Linked DNA regions of Sus scrofa. The protein of the gene in region 1 purifies or fractionates together with the protein of each later gene. This does not show direct contact. Links are inferred from orthologs where the notes say so. Each region holds a gene or a part of one and is shown in the gene's direction. Other genes may lie near its edges.

Evidence for each region.
Region 2: the proteins of RFC1 (region 1) and RFC4 fractionate together in Homo sapiens (co-fractionation; 7 studies listed by BioGRID and IntAct, counting the BioPlex papers as one, with this or other methods). This does not show direct contact. The link is inferred for Sus scrofa from reciprocal best matches to the Homo sapiens genes RFC1 and RFC4.

The regions. Positions count from the first base shown.
Region 1 is NC_010450.4:30,630,703-30,639,454, reverse strand, and holds the start of RFC1 (replication factor C subunit 1), read left to right. Parts: upstream 1-3,522; 5' UTR 3,523-3,710; coding exon 3,711-3,713; intron 3,714-8,752. UniProt on the Homo sapiens protein: Subunit of the replication factor C (RFC) complex which acts during elongation of primed DNA templates by DNA polymerases delta and epsilon, and is necessary for ATP-dependent loading of proliferating cell nuclear antigen (PCNA) onto primed DNA.
Region 2 is NC_010455.5:124,586,100-124,593,401, reverse strand, and holds the end of RFC4 (replication factor C subunit 4), read left to right. Parts: intron 1-988; coding exon 989-1,132; intron 1,133-1,319; coding exon 1,320-1,440; intron 1,441-2,327; coding exon 2,328-2,453; intron 2,454-3,603; coding exon 3,604-3,684; intron 3,685-3,753; coding exon 3,754-3,870; intron 3,871-3,950; coding exon 3,951-4,046; 3' UTR 4,047-4,110; downstream 4,111-7,302. Other genes in the region: EIF4A2 (eukaryotic initiation factor 4A-II), read right to left, coding at 4,756-4,900, 6,153-6,232, 6,455-6,544, 6,782-6,919, 7,229-7,302. UniProt on the Homo sapiens protein: Subunit of the replication factor C (RFC) complex which acts during elongation of primed DNA templates by DNA polymerases delta and epsilon, and is necessary for ATP-dependent loading of proliferating cell nuclear antigen (PCNA) onto primed DNA.

The DNA.
Region 1 (8,752 bases):
TCGGATCCCATGTTGCTGTGGCTGTGGCTCTGGCATAGGCCTCTGGCTACGGCTCTGATTAGACCCCTAGCCTGGGAACCTCCATATGCCGAGGGAGCAGCCCTAGAAAAGGCAAAGAGACAGAAAAACAAAAACAAAAAACATGCAAGGAATCTTTGTTAGCTAATGTTTTACATCACTGATAAATGACTTTTTAGGCCTTTCTAAAAAACTATCTAAAATCCATAGGCCTAGTTTGTTATATCCTCAATTTTGTTTGTGTATCCTCAATTTCCTGGCTTTGCATTATTGCAGTCTTTCAGTTAATACTGAGACATAGCAACCTATTATCTTTTTATTCTTAACTGTTGAAGGAAGGCCACATAGAGATGCGAGGTGCACACAGGCTGGTCTTTTCCCTGGAATAAATTCAAACTAGACACTATTATAGAATAATGCCCTGTTTGGAATAAAATCCAGATGCAGTTATTACGTAGATACACATTTAACAGAAAGAAGATTAACTGTTACTCCCCTACAGACAAAAAAAAAAAAAAAAACATATTTGGTAATCTTTTCTTGCACCCTTTACATTTCTCCATGGAAAACTGAGTATCACGTTTTGCCACAAAACACACAGTAATATCATCTTTTTTTTCATCTTTTTGACCATAAAATACAAAGTATAACGATAGAATCATAGCAATCTTTTGGTTTAAAATCTTATAAAGCCTTTATAGCACTCATTCTTAAAGTACAGAATTTATTTTTGTCTACTTACTTACTTTTCTCTTTTCTTCAAAAATATAAACTCTAGGAAGCTGGGACCATCAGTCTTGTATACTATGGTTTCCCAGCATGCACATAAAAAGTGCCAACACACAGTAGATGCTCAATAAATATTTGTTGAATGATACAGCAATAAAAAATCACCACAGTGGAGAAAATAAGCATAAATATTCCATTCATGCTTATTTCTTGGTTACCCTTTGGGTTCTTTAAACTATTTCTGTTCTGGTTATCTATTACTTTAAACAAGCTACCTCCAAACTTAGTACCTTAAAAAAACAATAATTTCATTATATTTTAAATAAACATAACATTTTATTTTATAAACATTTTATTATATGTTTTTAAATAATAAAATAATTTTATTATCATTTTTAGTACTTTGGGTCAGAGAATTTAGGCAAACCTTGACTAGGTGATTTTCCTGTTCTATGTAGTGGTGCCTGGGGTCACTTAGTGGAATTCCACCAGCAGCTGGTATGGTGGGTCCAAGATTGTTTTACTTACAAGCTTGGTTCCTGGTAGAGATGGCTGTAAGCCTGTACTTGGCTGGCCCCTTCTGTTTTATGTGGTGGCTCAGGGCTCCAGAGTCCAAGACAGGAGCTGCTAGTCCTCTTAAAGTTTACATTTGGGGCCACCATAGCATCATTTCCACCATATTCTTTGCTCAAACCAGTCACAGGCCAGCCCATATTTGGGAGGAGTGTCAAAACATGTATGGCTATTTTTATTTTTATTTTTTGTCTTTTTAGGGCCTCACCCACAGCATATGGAAGGTCCCAGGCTAGGGATCTAATTGGAGTTGCAGCTGCCAGCCTATACCACAGCTCACAGCAATGCTTAACCCACTGATCAGGGCCAGGTATCGAAACCACGTCCTCATGGATACTAGTCAGGTTCATTATTGCTGATCCACAATGGGAGCTCCTATACACCGTTTTTAATTCTGTACATTTTCTTTTTCCTTTTTTGGCTGCACTGATGATAGAGGGAAGTTCCTGGGCCAGGGATTGAACTGGTGCCAGAGGAGTGACTCAAGCTGCTGCAGTGACAACACGGGATCCTTAACCAGCTGCGCCAGGAGAGATCTCCTCATCTGCTACATTTCTGAGATAATGTCCAAGTAAATGTTCCTAAAGAAAACAATCCAACAAATTCAGTTCAGTATCTTTCTGGAAATTACAGTCTTCTGACTTAAGTCTCACCTAAATTCAAGGAAGGCTTCAAAATACTAAAAAACAAATGCAAAAGTTTAAAGTAGTATAATGTAAAAGATACGCAAACCTTTTAATATACATCTTATTCGCTTACTGACAACACAATGAACATTGTAAATTGGTTTAGGTTCTTAAGGTTCTTTATATGATGTGTCTGCTGTGTACATTTTTCTGGGAGATAGGTTCATAGTTTTTATTGATTTCTCAAAGATCTAATGACTAATGACTCCCTCCTTCCCAATCAAGTATTTCCCTAAGCAAAATTATGGAGTAGATAAATTCATTTTTGGAATTATCTGCCTTGATAATACTTAGCCTCATATAAAAATAATAGTGATAACAGCTGACTTAAATAAAAAAGATTACTATCAGCTGTGTGCCAGGAACAGTTTCATAATAACCCAATGAAGAACATAGTACTATTATCTTATTTTACAGTTGAGGAAACTGAGGCATATTAACTTGCTTACCGTCTAGCATATTGGCTTCAGAGGGTCCCATGCAATGCGGCCCTGTTCCCCAGTATCCCTTTACTCCTTTGTAAATAGCGGATAACAACAGCAGCCAGTATTATTGTGGGTATTAGATGAGTAAGACTGGGACAGTCCATAGCCACATTCTTAGCACATATTATGGTGTTTGTTTAATACATATGAGTGCTCCATGCTTAGCTTCTGTATTTCAGAAGGCTCTGGTATCTTTCATAGTAGAAATATGGGTGTGATAAAATGCAGGAGAGAACAAGAGGTGGGCGGGTGGGTGGATAAGGATTTGAAAGTCCAGGGCCAAAACTGGAGATATTGCTCTGCCCATTGCACTCCTAAGGTTTCACATATTCACTTAAAATTGAATGCAAATGCAACATTCTGTTCCACAATTCAATTGCTTATCTATTAATATAAAACTTGTTTACTCCAAAGTTTTCAGCATCATTGTTCTATGGAGATGTACCTTGTTGATGCCTTAGCTTCACACATACACCCCTTTGAGGGACTCAGCAGCGCAGGTTTGGGAATCTGAACGCCTAGAAGCCCAGCTAGGCCCCACAGCTTGTTTGAGCCTTACATTTTTCATATAAAGTGGAGTGGGTGGTAATACCTACTTTACTAGTCTCTTTCGCTTTGGAATTACACACATAAAACTGTCCTAAAGGTAGTTTTCAAAACTTATAAGTAGGCGAAAAACCAAATTTAGTTGCTCAAACACTAAAAAAAAAAAAAAAAAAAAAAGGTAAATACTGTTTGGTGGAATTCTTATTCCAGAATAGATATTAAAATTAATATGTGAACGTACATCTAAAATCAGCATCTTACTGCGGCTGGTAATAGAAACATTTTAAAGCTACTAAGGAGGGCATGCATCCTTCCAGATGGGTAACCCGGAGGATCTGCCCGCCTTCCGAGGTAATCAATCTCGTAACTTCGCGATCTGACCGCCGCGGCCAAAAGCCGAAGGCGCAAATCTGAGAGTGGATCTGGGTTCCGGAGCGCGCTGGCCCAGCCGGCCTCAGGGGCGGCACCTGGGCCCACGTAGCTACGCCTGCCTCCCGCCCCCGGCCTGGCCCGAGAGGACGCTGCGCGCCTCCTGACGTCATCACCGGGCGCCGCTGCCTCGACCTCCTTCCACTTCGCGGGAGAAGTTGTTGGCGCCAATGGATCCCGAGCTCCGGTAACGGATTCCCCAGCCGGCCAGCCTGCACGCCAGCGCCTTCGTCCGTGGGCTGTGATGGTGAGCCCCCGTGGGAGGCTGTACGGCTCGGGGGTTGGGGAGAGTTTGCAGGTTGGGTGTGGACCGGGCACTAGTGGCATGGAGGATTGGGGAGGATCGTGATGCGAGGCTCCGGAGGAGTGCGAAGGCAGGGAAGGGGCCACAAACTTGGCACGGGTCTCACGCCTTTCCTTGGACCGCGGCTTCAGCTCCCGGCCGCAGCCGGCGCGCAGGGCTCGTGGTGCTGCGCGTCAGTTTAACTTTTTTCCATTCTTGGGGGAAGGGAGGAAGGGAGTAATAAAGGTGATTTTGAGGGCTCAGCGGTTAAGTTGCTTTTCCTGTTTAGCGTTGCCTCGGACCTTGGTTTGAGTCCTGCCTAAAGCGTTAATTCCAAGTTTTGGGTTACGAAGGAGAAGAATGTTACAAACTTTCCTTTCTAATGAATAAGTTGTCTCGGGCCTTCGACTTTCGTCATTAACAGCTCGGTGAAACGCTCATCACAGAGCTCTTTTGAGATCAAGGGCATCAGGAGGATGTTTTATTTTGTTTGGAGGAGTTCGCAGAAATCAAAGGGATAACACGGTTTCCCCGGAGAAAAGAAAACAGCTAGTAGAAACAGCTGTACTGCATTTGACGGCTGTCATCACTTAGCATCTGATGTTAACAATACTCTTAAAAAAAACCCTCACTAACACACCATTTTAAACCAACTATTCTTTAATAAAAAATTAAAAACCCCCAAAACACCCCTCGGTGTTTAAATAGTGAAATAATTATGCAGCCTTCCAAACATGTTCATACTGGAATGGCAATAGATACAGGTGTGTGTTTGAAGTATTTTATTTTAAAGGTCAATTTATGATGGTCCATTAAGTCAGAATCTACCTAATAATCAGATATAATTTTTTCAGTAGTTTTTCAGCTTATTTCTTATAATGTCATTGTTATGGGCTGTATGTGTGTGTGTGTAATTTTATGCCAAATTGGGAAACCTTACAGCCCTTTTTTATTTCTTCTCAAAGAAGGATAAGATAATAATAGCTACTTTGTAACAGGTGTCTTCTTCAGGTCAATATGTGAGCCCTTTACTTTACATACCTTTTCTCATTTAAACCTCACAGCAATCCAGTGTTACAGATGGTAAAGGAAGCGTTTAGAGTTCAATTTGTGATAGAAGTAATAAATGATTGAACTAGGATTACAACCTTGGTTTTTCTGTTAGATTATACTACCTCCCTAAAATGATCATAATTACATTTTGGACTTCAGGCACTATGGTGTTGTGGAAAGTTTATGAGTTTTGGAGTCTTGAAGGTGAGAGTGAGGTGATGTTTTAGTCTTGCTCTACCATTTAATGCTTAAGTGGTTTTGAACAAGTGAATACCTTAACTTTTTAACCTTTTAAATCCTGTTGTTTCCTTACCTGTAAAAGGGAGGAAAATATAGCTGCCTTAAATGACTGTTTTGAGGATTAAACAAGATAATTAATGTAAAGCTTCTGTTCTTGTGCCTGGCATGAGGTAGGCAATATACAGCTCTGTGGCCAATGATGTAATTTTCTCAGGAAGGACTCTATGGAACATTACAGAGAGTTTAAGGGGCAGCAGAGATACCTCTGGAAAAAACAAGATGCCTCTGAGAACAACAGTTTAGAGTCAACTTTTGGTTATTTGAGTATATATATATAAATATATATATATATTTTTTTAGGGCCGCAGGTGTGGCATTTAGAAGTTCCTAGACTGGGGGTCAAATCAGAGCTACAGCTGCAGGCCTACGCCACCACGACAGCAACACTGGATGGGAGCTGTGTCTGTGACCTACACCGCAGCTTGGGGGCATGCCGGATCCCTAACCTACTGAGTGGGGCCGGGGATCGAACCCACATCCTCATGGATATTGGGTTCGTTTCTGCTGAGCCACAACAGGAACTCCCATTTGGGTATTTTCAATTGATTCTTTCCCTTCTTAGTACTCCTGTTCATGGTGCAGATGAAAAATAAAGCCCTTCTCGGAAAAGAAGTGGGAGTCAAATGGGTCTGCTTTACTGTTTCTAAAGGGAAAAGTTTCTGTAAGGTACTTAAGAGTTTTGGATTATATTGGTATTTAATTTAGTTCTTCTGTCTCTAGTACACAAATTAGCAGAAACCTAGACCCAAATTCTGTTTAGCATATGTTTATTGAACACCTTTATACAAGTTATCTTGTACAGTAGTTCTTAACTTTTGTTTGAGTCATAGCTCCGTTTGATAATCTGGTGAATAGTGTGCAAGTTTTCTGCCCACAGAGTACATGTGGACTCATACACACTGTTTAGGGGATTCACATATCTTCTGAAGCCCTTCCATAGATCAAAGTTAGCAACTCTTGCCCTGGGAGCTACATCTTTTTCTCACATCTTTTCCAATTAAAGTTATTGATAAAGGAATAAAATACTATATCCACAAAATGGAATGCTATGCAGCCATTAAAAAGAAAACTTTGGAGTTCCCATCGTGGCGTAGCGGAAATGATTCTGACCAGGAACCATGAGGTTGTGGGTTCGATCCCTGGCCTCACTCAGTGGGTTAAGGATCCGATGTTGCCGTGAGCTGTGGTATAGGTCGCAAATGCAGCTCGGATCTGGTGACAGCTCCGATTAGATCCCTAGCCTGGGAACCTCCATGTGCCTCAGATGCAGCCCTAAGAAGACAAAAGAGAAACCCCCCACCAAAAAAGAGAAAACTTTATGCCATGATATGAAACAATTGCCAAGATAAGTAAGTGAAAAAAGAAGATGCACAACAATATGTAGAAAAGATTCTCTGCATATTTGGGAGTTTCCTTGTGGCTTAGCAGGTTAAGGATCTGGCATTGTCACTGCTGTGTCTTGGGTTGCTGCTGTGGTACAGGTTTGATCCCTGGCTTCAGAAGTTTCACATGGTGCAGGTGCAGCCAAAAAAAAAAAAAAAAAAAAAAAAGAATATGCATATTTGTTTGAAGATACGAAAGATCCATAAAGAACTAACTGCTAACATTTGTTGCTTCCTAAGATGGGAAATGTGAATCTGAGCGGCAGGATAGGAGGGAGACATTTTACCTTTTTGAATTTTTGGGTCATGTGAATATATTGGCTATTAAAGTAATTGGAATGAACTTAGAATAAAAAAATGGCCATGTAAATGATTTGCATTGCTATGAAGATTTAATTATTTGCTCAAAATGTGAATAAAATTTGAGAAATGCCATTTTAAAGAAGCCAGCACATATAATTTATTGGCTAGCATGTTTATTTATTGAAAATATGCATAAGATTGAATTAAACACACACGAGACTTAAGGGATAGGTTTTTTTTGAAGAGCTGTTGAGAGTCTGAATACATCTAAATTGACTCATTGCCCCCTTCACATTGTCATTTACTGCGTGAATGCTCCCCTGAAGCAGTGTGGTCACCCTTTTATTTATTTATTTTTTTACTTTTTATTATTATTTTTTTGTCTTTTAGGGCCACACCAGTGGCACATGGAGGTTCCCAGGCGAGGGGTCCAATTGGAGCTGCAGCCGCCAGCCTATGCCACAGCCAGAGCAAGGTGGGATCTGAGCTGCGTCCGTGACCTACACCACAGCTCATAGCAATGCCAGATCCTTAACCCACTGCGTGAGGCCAGGGATTGAACTCGAGTCCTCATGGATGCTGGTTGGGTTTGACAACCACTGAGCCACGATGGGAACTCCGGTCACCTGTTTGTAATGTGGCTTTTGCCATAAGGCTTCTCCTACCTTTCTGATCTCATCTGTCTGTCTTTTGAGTGTGTTAAGCTGGTTCTCTCTTGGCTTTTATTTTTGCTATTTCCTTTCCTTGGAATAACCTGTCTTATTCAAATGTCAGTCATCGCTTCCTCAGAGCTTTTGGTGTCATATCCAAGAAACTCTTACCTAATCCAGAGACAAGAAGATTTGTGCTTCTTTTATAGATTTAGCTCTTCCATTTAGGACTTTGATCTATTTTGAGTTAATTTTGGTGTATGGTGTGAAGTTGGAGTTAAAAGTTTATTCTTTTCTATGTACCTCTCCAGTTTTTTGCAGACTATTTTCCCATTGAATTATCTTGGCTCTCTTGTCAAAAATCAGTTGACTTTAAGTGTGAGGGTTTTTTTTTCCTGGATATTGAATTCTGTTCCATTAATCTATGTGTCTATTGTAGTGCCAGTAACCGTTTTTAATTACAGTTGCTTTGTGGTGAGTTTTGAAGTTGGGAAGTATGAGTCTTCCAACTTTACTCTTTTTCAAAGTATTTTGCCTGTCCTGGGGCCCTTGAATTTCCATATGAAGTTTAGAATCAGCAAAGAAGCTGGCAGGATTTTGATAGGGATTGTGTTGAATCTTTAGATCAGTTTGAGGAATATTGCCATCCTAACAACATAAGGTCTTCTGATCGATGAACATGGGCTATCTTGCCATTTGTTTAGGTCTTTAATTTCTTTCCTTTTTTTTTTTTTTTTTTTTTTTTTGTCTTTTTGCCATTTCTTGGGCCGCTCCCGCGGCATATGGAGGTTCCCAGGCTAGGGGTCCAATTGGAGCTGTAGCTGCCGGCCTACACCAGAGCCACAGCAACGCAGGATCCGAGCCGCATCTGCAACCTACACCACAGCTCACGGCAACGCTGGATCCTTAACCCACTGAGTAAGGCCAGGGATCGAACCCACAACCTCATGGTTCCTAGTCGGATTCGTTAACCACTGCGCCACAATGGGAATTCTGGTCTTTAATTTCTTTAAACAATGTTTTGTAGTTTTCAGAGATTGGTTTTACACTTCTGTTAAGTTTACTCCTAAGTATTTTGTTCTTTTTGACGAAACTTTAGGTGGAAATTTATGTTATGCTAATTTCTGCTATATAGCAAAGTGATTCAGACACTATACATATACACATATACGTATATATACATTTGCTATACAGCAAAGTGATTCAGATACACACACATACATATATAAGCATTTGTTTAATATTTTCCGTTATGATTTATCACAGAATATGTATGTATATATATTTTTTCCTTTTTTTGGCGGAAGGCGGGGAG
Region 2 (7,302 bases), on another chromosome or scaffold:
AGCATTGTCACTGCAGCAGCTCAGGTCACTACTGTGGTGCAGGTTTAGTCCCTGGCCCAGAAACTCCCACATGCCACAGGCATGGCCAAAAAAAAAAAGAAGACAACTTAGTTTAGAAATGGGGAAAGGATCTGAATAAACAGTAATTACTCCCAGGAAGATATACAAATGGCCAATAAGCACATCAAAAACAGGTTCATTGACATCGTGAGCCATTAGAGAAATGCAAATCAAAACCATGGTGAGATCCCACTTTACACCTAATAGGACAGCTATAATAAAAAAAGATAGAAAATAAGTATTAGCAAGTATGTGGAGAAATTGGAACCCTTATACATTGCTGGTTGGAATGTAAAATGATACACCCACATTGAAAACAGTTTGTCATTTCCTCTAAAAGTTAAACATAGAATTACCATATGACCCAACAATTTCAGTCCTAGAATATTTACTGACAAGGAATGAAAACATACACATGTATACAAATGTTCATAGCAGCATTACTCATAAGTCAAAACATGGAACCCACTATCCAACAACTAAAGAATGGACAAATGGAAGTTCCCTTGTGGCCCTGTGGTGCAGGTTGCAGCTTGTGGCCCAGGTCCAGTCCCTGTCCAGGGAATTTCCACATGCTGTGGGCACAGCCAAAAAAATAATGAATGAAAAGTAGTATATCCATTTGCCATATTATTTGGTAATAAAAAGAAATGAAGTAATGATATATACTAAAAAGTATATGAACTTGAAAATATTAAGGGAAAGAAGCCCATCACAAAAGACAATGTGTTATGTTGTCTGTCAACACATGATTCCATGTATATACAGTGTCCAGAATAGACAAATCTGTGGAAACAGAAAGTGGAGATTCCTGATTGCCTGTGGCTGAGAGTTTGGAGAGAAATCATTTAAAATGGGTGATGAGACGATTCTAAAATCAGATTGTGATAATGATGTGTTATAACTCCTATGTGTTTCTCTGAATCAGTGGGAAGCCATGCCCTCCTTTTAAGATTGTGATTCTGGATGAAGCAGATTCTATGACCTCAGCTGCTCAGGCAGCTTTAAGACGTACCATGGAGAAGGAGTCTAAAACCACTCGATTCTGTCTCATCTGTAACTATGTCAGTCGGTATGTATAGATGCTAAGCAACCTTATTTTGATAGCCCCAAATAGGGAGAAAAAAAATTTTTTTTTTAATGTTTTAAGGCTACATTAGTTTCTCCTCCATCAAATCTTGATTTGTTCTTGATAAAAATGAGTTCTTTGAGGGAGTTTCTTCTTTAGACACTGACTTGTTTTTTCCAATATTTTACAGAATAATTGAACCTCTGACCTCTAGATGTTCTAAATTCCGCTTCAAACCTCTGTCAGATAAAATTCAACAGCAGCGATTACTAGACATCGCTGATAAAGAACATGTCAAAATTAGTGATGAGGTAATTACTAATATTATTACAATTATTGTAAATCATTAATTCCTTTGATGAATGCCTGTGAAGAGGCCCTGTCTGAAAGAGTCAAGTGTTACCTCATTTATGATGCCAGTTCTTCAGGCAAAGTTAAGCTAAATGAGCAATTAGAATGTCTACAAATTACAGCTTCAGCCTTTCTGTTGCTATTAGTTTGTCAATATTTCAGAGACCCAAAGTGTGGGCAGATTTCATACCTAGAATGCAGATGCTGCAACAACAAATCTCTGCATAATGACAAGATATTCCACTTGTTACTACTAATACTCCACTTCAAGAACTGATTTGGTATGATGACATTCTGGTATAGTGATAGAATATATAGGCCCCTTATTATCACGGAGTTTAACCATAATTTGAATTTTCTTTGCTATAAGTAATCAAGAAAATAGGATCCCCAAAGTGGAACATCTTATCTGTTTATCTCTGCAAATTTTTTTCAAAGGAGAGAGATCTCAGGAGTTCCCTTCATGGCTCAGTGATTAATAAACCATGAGGATGTGGTTTGATCCCTGGCCTTACTTAGTGGGTTAAGGATCCCGTATTGCCGTGAGCTGTGGTGTAGGTCACAGACACGGCTCAGATCTGGCGTGGCTGTGGCTTAGGTGAGCAGCTACAGCTCCCATTGGACCCTTAGCCTGGGACCTTCCATATGCCGCTGGTGCAGCCCTAAAAAAACGCAAGAGGTCTCCTTCTATCGGACTGATGCTGTCTCTGAATTCTGCCACAGTAGGACTGACATTCTCTCAAAAATAGAAATAGATGGTTTTTTTCCCATTTAGCCAGTGCTTTTTACTTTTATTAAAGTCAGCCTTGATTGGCCATAATAGGTTAAAAAACTTCTTTCTCTTCAGGGAATAGCTTATCTTGTTAAAGTGTCAGAAGGAGACTTAAGAAAAGCCATTACATTTCTTCAAAGTGCTACTCGATTAACAGGTGGAAAGGAGGTCACAGAAAAGATGATCACAGATATTGCTGGGGTAAGTGCACTGGATATTCTGTAATTCTTTTAGTTGGCTTTTTTTGTTATTATAATTCAACACATATATATGGAATACTTACTATGTGTTATCTTAGTCTGTTCAGGCTGCTCTGACAAATGCCATAGGCTGAAATACAGTTCTGGAGACAAGGAATCCAAGATCAAGGTGCCCAATGATTCAGTATCTGTTAAGACGACTTCCTAGCTCAGTAGACTCCTAGTTCATGGATGGCCTTCACCTCCCTGATCCTCCTGTGGCAAAAGGGAGCTTTTTTCATAAGGGCATCAATCCCAGTCATGAGGGTTTCCTCCTTACGACCTCATCAACCTCCAAATACCATTACAACATTAAGGATTTCTCACATCAATTTTTTTTTTTTTGGTCTTTTGTCTTTAGAGGGCAGCACCCACAGCATATGGAGTTTCCCAGCCTAGGGGTCTGATTATGTGGGATCCAAGCCGCATCTGTAACCTACACCACAGCTCAGGGCACTGCTGGATCCTTAACCCACTGAGCTAGGCCAGCAGATGCTAGTTGGGTTTAACTGCTCAGCCATGACAGGAACTCCCCCTAACATCAATTTTGAGAGAATACATGTAGTCTATATAGCATCTGCTAAATATTGTGGTAGTAACAGTAATAAAGGAGTAAGCTGGGAGTATCAACGCTTCAGGCAGTGATGTGGCTTAAAACACTTTTTTTTTTTTTTTGTAAATGTAATGTGACCAAAGGTCATATTCAGTTTTTAAAAAAATTAAAAGAATCCTCTTCTGTCAGTTGTCTTTGGATACTCCTGTCAGGGTTCACCCCAGGATCACTATTTTATCTCCTCAGTGGCATCTTGAAGAGAACTATGCACCCACACTGACCATCTTGGGCTCAAACTTGAAAAAAAAAAAGGAATTTGCAAGCAAAACGCACCCGAATCAGTTTTCTGGGAAGCTTTATTCAGGTTTAGTAGTTATCAAGATCATCTATCTGGAGCCCAGAATAATAGCACAAGGCTTAAGAGCTAGCTTTACCAGCTTTTTCTCCCCTTGTGCCCCCCCCCCCCCACCAAGGTAGCAGGAGTGCAGGTTATGTGCTGTTTCAAGTATGAGAAAGTTTTAAGACCCACATATCTAAAGTCTTCAAACTTTTATTTTAGGTAGTACCGACTGAGACAATTGATGGAGTACTTGCTGCATGTCAGAGTGGCTCTTTTGACAAACTAGAAGCTGTGGTAAAGGTAAATTTACTTGACTAACTCGGGAAGGGGAATAAAAACAATCACACCAAGGTTTTCCTTCTATTGCAGGACTTAATAGATGAGGGCCATGCAGCAACTCAATTTGTAAATCAGCTTCATGATGTGGTGGTAGAAAATGATAACCTTTCTGATAAGCAGAAGTCTGTTATTACAGAGAAACTTGCTGTAAGTAGGCATTTTCTACATTTCAGCACAAGGATATTCACTTAAAAGGGCTATTTTATTAACCTTTCACTTTCTTTTAGGAAGCAGATAAATGCTTAGCTGATGGTGCTGATGAACATCTACAACTAATAAGCCTCTGTGCTACAGTGATGCAACAGTTAACTCAGAATTGTTAAACCACACCCAGTTATGTATGCTTTTTAACTGATTTGTAATAAAAATGACCAAAGCACCCTTAAAGTGAATATACAATTTATTTAACATTTAAACTTCATTAAGACATGTGCAATATGGCAATTTTACTGGGGGTTTAACCCTACCTAGGATATGATTGCTTGCTGGGGCTTAGCAACAGGGTCCAGTTCACACTTAGCACTAATTAAATACTTTATTGAATAATTAAATACAATACCAAACAATGCATTCAAATGCTTTCTAGAAAAAAAAAATCAATTTTAAAGGCCTTTCTAATTCAGGCTACTGACAAACACAATAAAGGCAGGTATGCTAGTTTAACATAATTGGCTGATTTTATACAGCACTTATATCTTTTAGTCCACAAGTATATTATTAAATGATAGAGAACATCTAATACAACCATTTCTACAGAACTAGGAAATAAATTTCTAAGAAAGTAAGATTTTACAGACCCCATCTTTTTTATACCCAACCCCAACAGTCTAACTCTAAAGAGGATGAAGCCAATGACTTTCCTCACAAGAGCTCACGACTAAATGTCGCTTTGCTATCAAAATCTGTATTTCTGATCCGTTATGAGCATTGAGACAAGATTCAAATATTCCCAAAGAAAGAAGCACAATGCACGTTGTGATCGCCTATTCAGCAACAGCGAGCACTGCATTCAAAACTATCTCATCCCAGGAATTAAATAAGGTCAGCCACATTCATTGGCATTTCCTCCACTGTAGTATTGTAGAAAGTCTCAATGTCACGAAGAATCCTCTTGTCTTCTTCAGTAACAAAGTTTATAGCCACACCTTTCCTCCCAAATCGACCCCCTCTGCCAATTCTGTGTAAGAAAAAGAAATCAGCAATTAGACTTGTTTCTCATATGCTGCATGAAATACTGAACATGATGATCCACTTAACCATCAGCTGCTGTTTACTTATCATGGTTATAGTTCGTGCTTCTAATTGGAGCACTAGCTGCTAATCAATATCTAGAGAAAAAAATCTTCCTTTGCAGTTAGTGCCAAAAGGATTCAAGGCTTGTCTGGCTGCAAAATGAGATTTTATCAGGTGTCTTGAGCATTACTTTTTTAAAGCAGATGACAGTATATTGTGTTTGGGGTAGTGAATTTAAAGCCCATACCAAAGTGGGCCAGCCAAGAGCAGATGTCAGCCTGGGACAGATGTAAAACACCAGGGTAAAACAAAAAAGAGCAGTTATGTAATCCATTTCGACGCAACTTCTGGAACTGTAAACTGTAAATACAAATGCTGCAAGGTTAACTACTGCCTAAAACTTACTTCTTCCAGTGGGAAAACAAGTATTTGGTATGGTAACCCAAACTTATCACTGCTTTTTTTTTTTTTTTGCTCAGTTTCACACGTTGAAACTCTAATTATTCAAACGTGTTTACCTCCAAAACAGCTTTCTAACCTTCCTGATAAGATACCAGACAATACAAACCACCTAACAGGCTACTATACAAAATTCCTTGGCTGGAGCATCTTAAAATATCAAATAATCATGACAAAAGAAAAACAAATATAAATACCGACTCGCTCTTTATTCAAACAGTGTGCTGTTTCGCTTATGATTCCACGTCCTAAATTACGTCAACGCCGTTTCTGAGCGCCATCTGGTCATCAACTGCTGCTATCGACTCCTGTATTTTTTAAAAAGTCTTTTTTTACATCATATAACAAAGTACAATTCAATTTATTTAGGGATAAAGCCACTATAACTAAACCAGGGACTGCTCAAATTGCTACCAGACAACACCAAGAAAATCCCAACTACAGAGAAATCACCAAGAAAGCACATGGACACACGAGCATCACTAAAAATAAAGCTCAAAAATAAGCTAAAACCAACAGAACTAAAACAACCTCATCTGTGTATGAAGTCCACAATTTGGGCAACACTCACAACTGTTTTCCCACTGTGTCTGACCAATCTTCCCAAATACAATTACACCCTACCAAGTTACTGTCTTAATTCCCTGATTGGAGGTTACCTTTCACACAAATCAGTCAGTAGAAAAGCGAAATGAATTTTACCAATACAGTAATAAATCAAGATGCCACCTACTCACCTGTGAATATAGTTTTCACGATTGGTAGGTAGGTCATAGTTTATAACCAATGATACTTGTTGCACATCAATCCCACGAGCCTAAAATACAATGTATAATGTTCAAATTCTAATTAAAAAACTAGACACCTATGTAATGTAGGCCACAAAATAGTAATGAACTATACTAAATGGTATAGCTCACTGTGGAGCGTGGTCTCTTCTTTACTCTCCCAAATAGCCTAAACTTGGTAAAGGTTATTAAAGAAAACCTTCCCCCAAAACAAACTTTTGGTAGATTAAAAAGAACAGTAAGAGACTCACCAACAAGTCAGTAGTGATCAGAACACGGCTTGACCCTGATCGGAATTCCCTCATGATAACATCTCTTTCCTTCTGGTCCATGTCACCATGCTGCAAATTAATAAGCCTTAAGATCACGAGTCATATTAACATTTAATTTTTATCAATATGTATGAGACCAAGCGTCCCTGGCTGCTACAGAGTATAACAGACAGGTATAGTTAAGAAACAACTTTATTTTGAGCAGGGGGAACGACAACACAGCACTTAACAGCTATATTGTAGTCTAAATCCTGCTTTAACAAAAATAAAGACTTCAACCATCATTACTAGGTTAGAACATCTTACCAGAGCAGAAACTGTAAAGTCCCTGGCATGCATTTTCTCAGTAAGCCAGTCCACCTTGCGCCTTGTATTGAGAAAAATCACAGCCTGTGTAATCGTCAGTGTCTCATACAAGTCACAAAGTGTATCCAACTTCCATTCCTACAGTATTTCGAGAAAAAAAAGTCATTAAAAGAACTGTTTCCAACTTATATTCATTCAAAATTCATTGCTTGACTATCTACAAATAAATATATGGCACCAAACGTTAAGACAAAGGACACTGGACATTAAGAAAGAGGTCCACCCCAGTCTTTACAATCTAGTGCAGTTACTCTTCTTCTTGTGTGTACTCTGCTAGCATTATTACAAAAACCAAGATGTGATCCTAGTTTCTGTAATTTTAGCACAGTGCTTATACAAGAAGGTTAAAAAAACCTGGCTACAATTTTTTACAATTAGACAAATTACCTCTCTTTCAACATTAATATAAAACTGTTTGATTCCTTCAAGGGTCAATTCTTCCTTTTTCACCAGAATTCGAA